Sus scrofa: one gene and its partner. The protein of the gene in region 1 binds, or shares a complex with, the protein of each later gene. Links are inferred from orthologs where the notes say so. Each region holds a gene or a part of one and is shown in the gene's direction. Other genes may lie near its edges. The genes, in order: ROPN1L and DYDC1.

Region 1 (4,397 bases):
ACATGGAAAAGAGTGAATTTAGAACACTCCCTAACACCATACACAAAAATAAACTCCAAATGGATTAAAGACCTAGATATAAGACCAGACACTATAAAACTCCTAGAGGAAAACATAGGCCAAACACTCTCTCACATAAACAACAGCAACATATTATCAGATCCACCTCTTGGAGTATTGACAATAAAAAGAAAAATAAACAAATGGGACCTAATAAAACCTCAAAGTTTCTGCACAGCAATGGAAACCCTAAACAACACAAAAAGACATCCCACAGAATGGAAGAAAATCTTTGCAAATGAATCGACTGACCAGAGATTCCTCTCCAAAATTTATAAACACCTTCTGCAGCTCAATACCAAAAAAACAAATAACCCCATCAAAAAATGGGCGGAAGATCTAAACAGACAGTTCTCCAAAGAAGACATACGGATGGCTGAGAAACACATGAAAAGTTGTTCAACATCACTCATTATTAGAGACACGCAAATCAAAACCACTCTGAGGTACCACCTTACACCAGCCAGAATGGCCATCATCCAAAAGTCTACAAACAAGAAGTGCTGGAGAGGGGGTGGAGAATAAGGAACCCTCTTACACGGTTGGTGGGATTGTAAATTGGTGCAACCACTGTGGAAAGCAGTATGGAGATTCCTCAGAAAACTAAACATAGAACTCCCATTGGATCCAGCAATCCCACTCCTGGGCATCTATCCAGAGAAAACACAAAACACATCTATCGCAAAGACACATGTACTCCGATGTTCACTGCAGCACTATTTACAATAGCCAAGACATGGAAACAACCTAAATGTCCATCGACAGAGGAGTGGATCCAGAAGATGTGGTACATATACACAATGGAATATTACTCAGCCATGAAAAAGAACGAAATCAGCATTTTTAGCAACATGGATGGACCTAGAAACTATCATGCTAAGTGAAGTCAGCCATACAATGAGACACCAACATCAAATGCTTTCACTGACATGTGGAATCTGAAGAAAGGACAGACGGAATTTCTTTGCACAACAGATGCTGACTCACAGACATTGAAAAACTTATGGTATCCGGAGGAGACAGTTTGGGGGGTGGGGGGATGTGCTTGGGCTGTGGGATGGAAATCCTGTGAAATCAGATTTTTATGATCATTATACAACTACAGATGTGATAAATTCATTTGAGTAATAAAAAAAATTAAGAAAAACAAGAGATGCAACGAGAACGTGCTGTGTAGCAGAAGAAAATCTACTCAGTAGTTTGTAAGAACCTATATGGGAAAAAAGAATGGATATATTTATATGCATGACTGTATCATTTTACCATACACCTAAAACTAATACACCATTGTAAGTCAACTTTACTCCAATAAAATTAAATTAATCAAAAGAAAAAAAAAAAAAAAGTCCTTTTCAAGTGAAACGTTCTGCTCCTACAGCGAGGTAAAGGAAAGGACTGCGAAACCAGACTGCGCAAGCGCATTGCTCCACCATTTGTGCGCGTGCGCGGCTCCAGGGGGTGGAGCCCGCACATGTTTTGGTTGCTTGGATACCGCTGCGAAACAATAGCGGTGGCTTGCTGCCCAGTTGCTGGGTCTGCGCTAGAACCAGCGGTTGGCCCTCATTTTCCGAGGAACCGGAGGAGCGGGTAAGAGCCTTCGCCGGCTGCCGGCGCCTCAGGAAGCCAGCCTCTTGGCCTGCCCTCAAACCCAAAACTGCCGCCCAGCCCCGGTCCCCGGCCCCTCCAAACCCGAGGAAAGGTGGGCAGCCTGCCCTGGCCTGGTTTAAACGCACCACCCCCGGCCTGGTTCAAGATCCCGGACCCCGCCCAGCCCCGCCCCAGACCCTCTTCCTCCACTAGGCTTCAAACTGGGGACCCTGGACCCCGTGCTCTGGCCCGGCCCCTGGGTCCCCTGGCCGTCGCGTCTCTCCGAGTGTCCTGGGCTGGCCAACCAGCCTTTTCTCCCTCCGCAGCACACCTTGATTCTTTCCAGCCTGGTCCTGGTCTGCGGAGAGCGATGCCGCTTCCCGACACCATGTTCTGCGCACAGCAGATCCACATTCCCCCGGAACTGCCAGACATCCTGAAGCAGTTCACCAAGGCTGCGATCCGCACCCAACCCGCCGACGTGCTGCAGTGGTCCGCGGGGTAAGTTCCACCGGACTGGGACCTTGGAGAGCCCCCTGGTCCCCTTTGCCCAGTCGTGCCTAGTGAGTCCTCCTTCCTGGACAATGCTCAGTACCCTGAGTACCGGCAAAACCTTTTTTAGCATTGGTATCTACACCTAATATAGTATTGTAGATACCATACACCTAATGTAGGTACCAGTGGTTTTGGTATTTACACCTAAGTATCTATCTAGGAAGCGTCGTGGTTTATTGACCACGAGACCAGAAATTACTGCAAAATGCCCATTTATCTACAAAGCAATGGCAGCTCTATTGTTGGAGAGTGATATTTATGCAAGTAGACTAAAATTTATAAAACAGTTACATTGGGTAAAAAGTTTCTGCCTTGTGTTATAAACTCGAACTATCACAGTCCCTTTATTTGTGAAATGATTTTTACAAGGAAGAATCTTATGGTTATATTCTTTGTCTTCAGAAAATCCTCCAGGATTGAGTACCTTTTGAGGTTATTGGAACCAGAAAGACTAGTTTATGTCAAGTAACCATCCCAAGGCTGCTGTAAAGTTAAACTTTGCCCAGCTTAGTTCAAGCATATGAGCGTCACAGTTTATTGCAACAAACATTCTGCTTCTAGGAACAGACATTAAGTTAACAAAATATGTCTGAACTTGTCCTAAGAGCGTGAAAGTTGAATTTGAGGGGGTGGAGAGAGAAAAAGGGGATGAGATATAAAATTTCTTTTAGTCCATCAAATATCTATTGATCTACATTTTGTTACATGTTCAGAGATGTTTTCTAACTACTTGTATCTTTGAAATTATTACTGGTAGCCCTGGATGATTTAGTGCCTTATTTTCCTGGATATGGCATTTCTCTGACAGTGGTAAGGTTGTGAGGGCAGCAAATGATGTGGCTTCAGCAGCCATTCTCAGCTGCATGCACCCACAGAGAGTGAGCTTCCAGAAGACCCTGCCTGGCACCCCTCACCCTCCAGCCAGACCCCCGGGGTCCTGTCCCCCTCCTGTCTTGTTGCCCCAGACTCTCTCTGTGTCCCAGCTTCTTCCTAGTATTAGCACCAATATCCATGTCCCAGAAAGGAATGATTGAGTGGGAAAATACTGAAGAAAAAAAAAAAATACCAGGCAGGAAAGGTGAAGAGTAGGGGAGGTTGGCCCTGAGTTGGCCAAACAGGTGACTTCCCTGTTCTGAGTGCCTGAGACCCGAATAGGCAGAGATGCTTGAAATCAAGCCCCTCGAGAAGCAGGGCCAAGTCCCCAGCTGTCAAAATGATACTACTGGACCATGCCCTTGCACTTGGGTCACATGGGGCCCTGACCTCCACCTCCTCTAGCAACATCTCAGGACCTCTAGTGGCATCTACTTGATGAGATTAGCATGTGTCGTGAGACCCCCAGGAGTGCAGATGGGGGCCTTGAGACAGGGGCCACCATTCTCCCCACTCTGCAGACAGAGAAACTGAGGCATGTGGAGAATGTTAAGTCAGTTGAGTAGAGGGGCTGGGCCAGGGACCTAGCACAGTCCTCCGTCATCACTGTCTCCCTCTGAGGTCACTGATGAAAGTGCATGAAGTCAGCTGGATGCACAGATGAGCCTTCAGCAATGCATGTCGTTGTCAGGTATTTTTCAGCTTTGTCAAGAGGAGATCCACTTCCTGTAAAGGACAGAATTGAAATGCCCATGGCCACTCAGAAAACAGACACAGGCCTGACTCAAGGACTCCTTAAAGTTTTGCACAAGCAGGTATAAGATTGTCTTTGTCATCAGTCAGATGAACTTGAGATAAAGCTTGGCAGAAACCTCCCCATCATCCATACAAGCCCTGCTTCCCTTTGGGAAACCTCCAAGTTTATTCAAAGAAGGAATCTTGTATTCAGTGGCCTTTCTCTGGTTTAAAGAACCCCAAATAGGAGTTCCCATTGTGGCTCAGTGGGTTATGAACCTGACTAGCATCCGTGAGGATGCGTTTCTTTCTTTCTTTCTTTCTTTCTTTCTTTCTTTCTTTCTTTCTTTCTTTCTTTCTTTCTTTCTTTCTTTTGCTTTTTCAGGGCCAAACCTGCGGTATCCTCATGGATATTAGTTGGGTTTGTAACCCACTTAGCCACAACGGGAACTCCAAGGATGCTGGTTTAATCTTTGAGCTTGCTCAGTGGGATAAGGATCTGGCATTGCCATGAGCTGTGGTGTAGATCACAGACTCGGCTCGGACCTGGCGTTGCTGTGGCTGTGGTGTAGGCTGGCAGCTGTAGC
Region 2 (3,815 bases), on another chromosome or scaffold:
AGTCTTTGAAGGTTTAATTTTTTCTTATTTTTTGGCCTTAAGGTATGTGGACTTTTTAAAACTTTAAGGTACTATTGTGATATTTTCTAGAAACATCTCTCAGGGGTTGGGAGGAGCATCTTAGTAAATCATTTAGGGTAACGACTCTGGAATCAAGAGTTGGGTGTGATCCCTGTGCATCATGTGCCACCTGGGCTGTTCACTTATTCTCTTTGTATCTGAATGCGAGGATTAAGTGAGCCATCACTTGCCATATAGCCATTTCATGGTCAATAATGACAGTATCCCTTTTCTGACTCTTGGAATCAAGGATCCTTCAGGATTTTGAAACTATTTTAGTTGTAGCAACTACTGTGGAACATTTTTGGAAAATGCTAGAAGTTCCCCAGAGCCAGCTTGCTTGCGCCATCCCTAATGGCAGGTTCCCATGACTGGTGACAGGATATGCTGCTTGGTTGGCCTTACTTGTCTCTACTTTGATTGTGCCTTCATCAAAAATCTCCTGCACTAATGCAAAATGTTTGTCCTTTAGAAGTTTTTACTTAGCAGTTATAAATGGAGACGGAGTATCTTCAAAAGAATCTTGGGACATGTCTAACTCAAGGGCTTGCAGAAGTGGCAAGGATGCGGCCAGTGGATCCAATAGAATATTTGGCATTGTGGATTTACAAGTATAAAGAAAATGTGACCAGGGAGCAACTGGTAAGTATGGATCTTTTTTCCTAAAATTAGAAGAGTAAAATAATTGGTCCAGCTTCTTCATTTTTTATTAAAGCTTGACATTATCATTTCTTTCTGTTATAAAAATGGTATGTTTATTACATGAACTTGGACTACCTGAAAAAGTGAAAGTAGAAAAATGAAAACAAAATACCTCTATTTAGGAGTTCCTGTCGTGGTGCATCGGAAATGAATCCGACTAGGAACCACGAGGTTGTGGGTTGGATCCCTTGCCTCACTCAGTGGGTTAAGGATCCAGTGTTGCCATGAGTGTGGCGTAGGTTGCAGACATGGCTCAAATCTGGTGTTGCTGTGGCTCTGGTGTAGGCCGGCAGCTATAGCTCAGATTAGACCCCTAGCCCGGGAACCTCCATATGCTGCAGGTGCTGCCCTAAAAAAAGACAAAAGACAAAAAAAAAACAAAAAACAAAAAACTTCTATTTAGATTTTTAAGTATTTTTAGATATTCTAGTCTTTTTTCTACGTGTTCATGTTAAGATTTTTTAAACGTAATTTGATCATATTCAATTCATAATTTTAATTTTGTGCTCTTTGTTCAAATAAAACACACATTTCCCAAAATTATTATGCAGTTTCCAAATGGACAGACTATAATTTGTTTAATCCTTTCCCTGCTGTTGGAGATTAACATGCTTTTAAGAATGTTTTCAAAAATTGTTTTACCTGATGTCACATGATGTTGTTTTTAAAACAATGCTAGAGACAAGAGGAAATGGCCCAGTTGGAGCATGAAAGACAAATAGCTCTGATGGAGCAGGAAATGATGGAGAGACTTAAAGCAGAAGAGCTCCTATTTCAGCAGGTGAGACAAAAGAGTTCAGTGGTGACTGGAATTGGTGGTGTCAGCCTCTGTGTGGTGCAACCCGAGTGCTGAAAAACTCATCTCTGGTTGCTTAGATGTGGCTTTCATGTATCTTCATCCTTATGTCTCTCTGTGTTTCTTTGCTGGAGAAGCAGAAGCAGTGGGGTAGGAAGAAAATCCAGAGAGTGAGCTGTCACAGAAGCCAACGGGACAATGTCTCATTGAGACCCGAGTAGTCAACCATGTCTATGGCTGGTCCAGTGAGATCAGAACCTGCCAAGTGCTCATTAAGTCCACGGGTGACCTTGGCGGGAGCAGTGTGTGGGGGCTGGGGTTAAGCAGGGGAGATAGAAATGGTGGCTGTAGATAATGTTTTCAAGATTCTCAGAGAAGGAATTCTGTTTGTTTGTTTGTTTTTTTTTTTTTTTTCCCCTTAAGGAACAGAGTGGGAGGGGGAGTGGTTGAAGTAAAGAAATAAAGTGGATTATTCTTAAAGTTAGCTTTACATGGAGATCAGAAAAAGTTGGGTCTGAAACATAGGTTAGGCAGGTGGAAGACCCTTCTTTGATTCAGGAAAAGAGGAGAAGATGTAGGTACATGTGATGTGTAGGTTTTATGGCACAATTTTTTTTTTTTCTTTTTATGGCCATACCTGTAGCATAGGGAAGTTCCCAGGCTAGGCGTCAAATCAGAGCTGCAGCTACTGGCCTACACCACAGCCACAGCAACACTGGATCCTTAACCCACTGAATGAGGTCAGGGATCAAACCCACATCCTCACAGACACTGTGTCAGGTTCTAAAGCTGCTGAGCCGCAATGGGAACTCTTTGTGGCACAAAAATTTTTTGTTTGTTGTTTTGTCTTTTGGGGCCACACCTGTGGCATAGGGAAGTTCCCAGGCTAAGGATCGAATCAGAGCTACAGCTGCTAGCTTATACCATAGCCACAGCAACACCAGATCCGAGCTGTGTCTGCAACCTACACCGGAGCTCACAGCAACACCAGATCCTTAACTCACTAAGCGAGGCCCGGGATCGAACCCATGTCCTCATGGATACTAGTTGGGTTCGTTACCACTGAGCCACAATGGGAACTCCCTACTTGTGGCCCAAAATTGAAAGCAGTTTCTTTTTTATGAAGTAGGGAGCATGATCATCTGCTCACAATGAGGTGGTGAGTAAGATAGGAAGTGTGGAGAGAGGGGTGAAGGGTTAAAACGGTGGCTTTGGAGAAGTCCAGTTGACCAGGGAAACTTCACATCCCTTGGTAGCACTGAATTCCCTGAGAATAAGCAGTCATAATGGGGCCTTTTGGCTTGGTTTTGTGATTATGTGGTTTTCTTCACTCAGGCTTAGATATGAATGAAGAGGTGGAACAGGCAGACCCTTTGACTGAAGTGAGTTTGGGTTAGCAGGATTGGGGTGCTAAAGATGTTGCTATGAGAATGGTTGAAGAGGTAGGTCATGGAGTGTAAACCAAATAGGGGAAATTTCTCAAATGGCTCTGGACTAATTTAATTTTTTTCTTTTTTTGTCTTTTTGCTATTTCTTTGGGCCGTTCCTGCGGCATATGGAGGTTCCCAGGCTAGGGGTCGAATCGGAGCTGTAGCCTCTAGCCTATGCAAGAGCGACATGGGATCCGAGCCGTATCTGCAACCTACACCACAGCTCACGGCAGTGCTGGATCCTTAACCCACTGAGCAAGGGCAGGGTCTGAACCCGCAACCTCATGGTTCCTAGTCAGATTTGTTAACCACTGCGCCACGACAGGAACTCCTGGACTAATTTAATTTATGGAGAGCTTCTAAACCAAGTTCAAGCCTCCCGTTTATTCCTATTGTACACTACCTAATTCTACAGTCTCAACTCCAGTTTGTATGTTATAGAAAGAGAAAGAAGCCTATTATTTGGCTGTGTGGGTAAAAAAGAAAATGTAAACATGGAAAATAGCTTCTTTGTCTTACTTCCCATCCTTGATACTGGAATAGGATAATTCAGACACCTTAGGTGGATTTGGCTGTCAAAGAAAGCCTTTGCTGCTGCTTTTTTAGTCACTGGGCTTATTTTTGTGGGGAAATTGCATAGCATTGAGTTGGATGTCAAACAACCACCCAGGTAGTCAAGTATCTGCTGCAGTCACCCCAGCTTTTTTTTTTTTTTTGTCTTTTTAGGGCTGCACCTGTGGCATATGGAGGTTCCCAGGCTAGGGGTCAAATCAGAGCTGCAGCTGTCAGCCTATACCACAGCCACAGCAACACTGGATCCTTAACCC

Evidence for each region.
Region 2: ROPN1L (region 1) and DYDC1 share a complex: the UniProt entries of both Homo sapiens proteins name them as parts of the axonemal radial spoke complex. The link is inferred for Sus scrofa from reciprocal best matches to the Homo sapiens genes ROPN1L and DYDC1.

What each region holds. Positions count from the first base shown.
Region 1 is NC_010458.4:41,790-46,186, forward strand, and holds the start of ROPN1L (ropporin-1-like protein), read left to right. Parts: upstream 1-1,509; 5' UTR 1,510-1,647; intron 1,648-1,973; 5' UTR 1,974-2,017; coding exon 2,018-2,148; intron 2,149-3,766; coding exon 3,767-3,890; intron 3,891-4,397. UniProt on the Homo sapiens protein: Functions as part of axonemal radial spoke complexes that play an important part in the motility of sperm and cilia. Important for male fertility.
Region 2 is NC_010456.5:82,190,467-82,194,281, reverse strand, and holds part of DYDC1 (DPY30 domain-containing protein 1), read left to right. Parts: intron 1-532; 5' UTR 533-555; coding exon 556-702; intron 703-1,441; coding exon 1,442-1,543; intron 1,544-3,815. UniProt on the Homo sapiens protein: Functions as part of axonemal radial spoke complexes that play an important part in the motility of sperm and cilia. Plays a crucial role during acrosome biogenesis.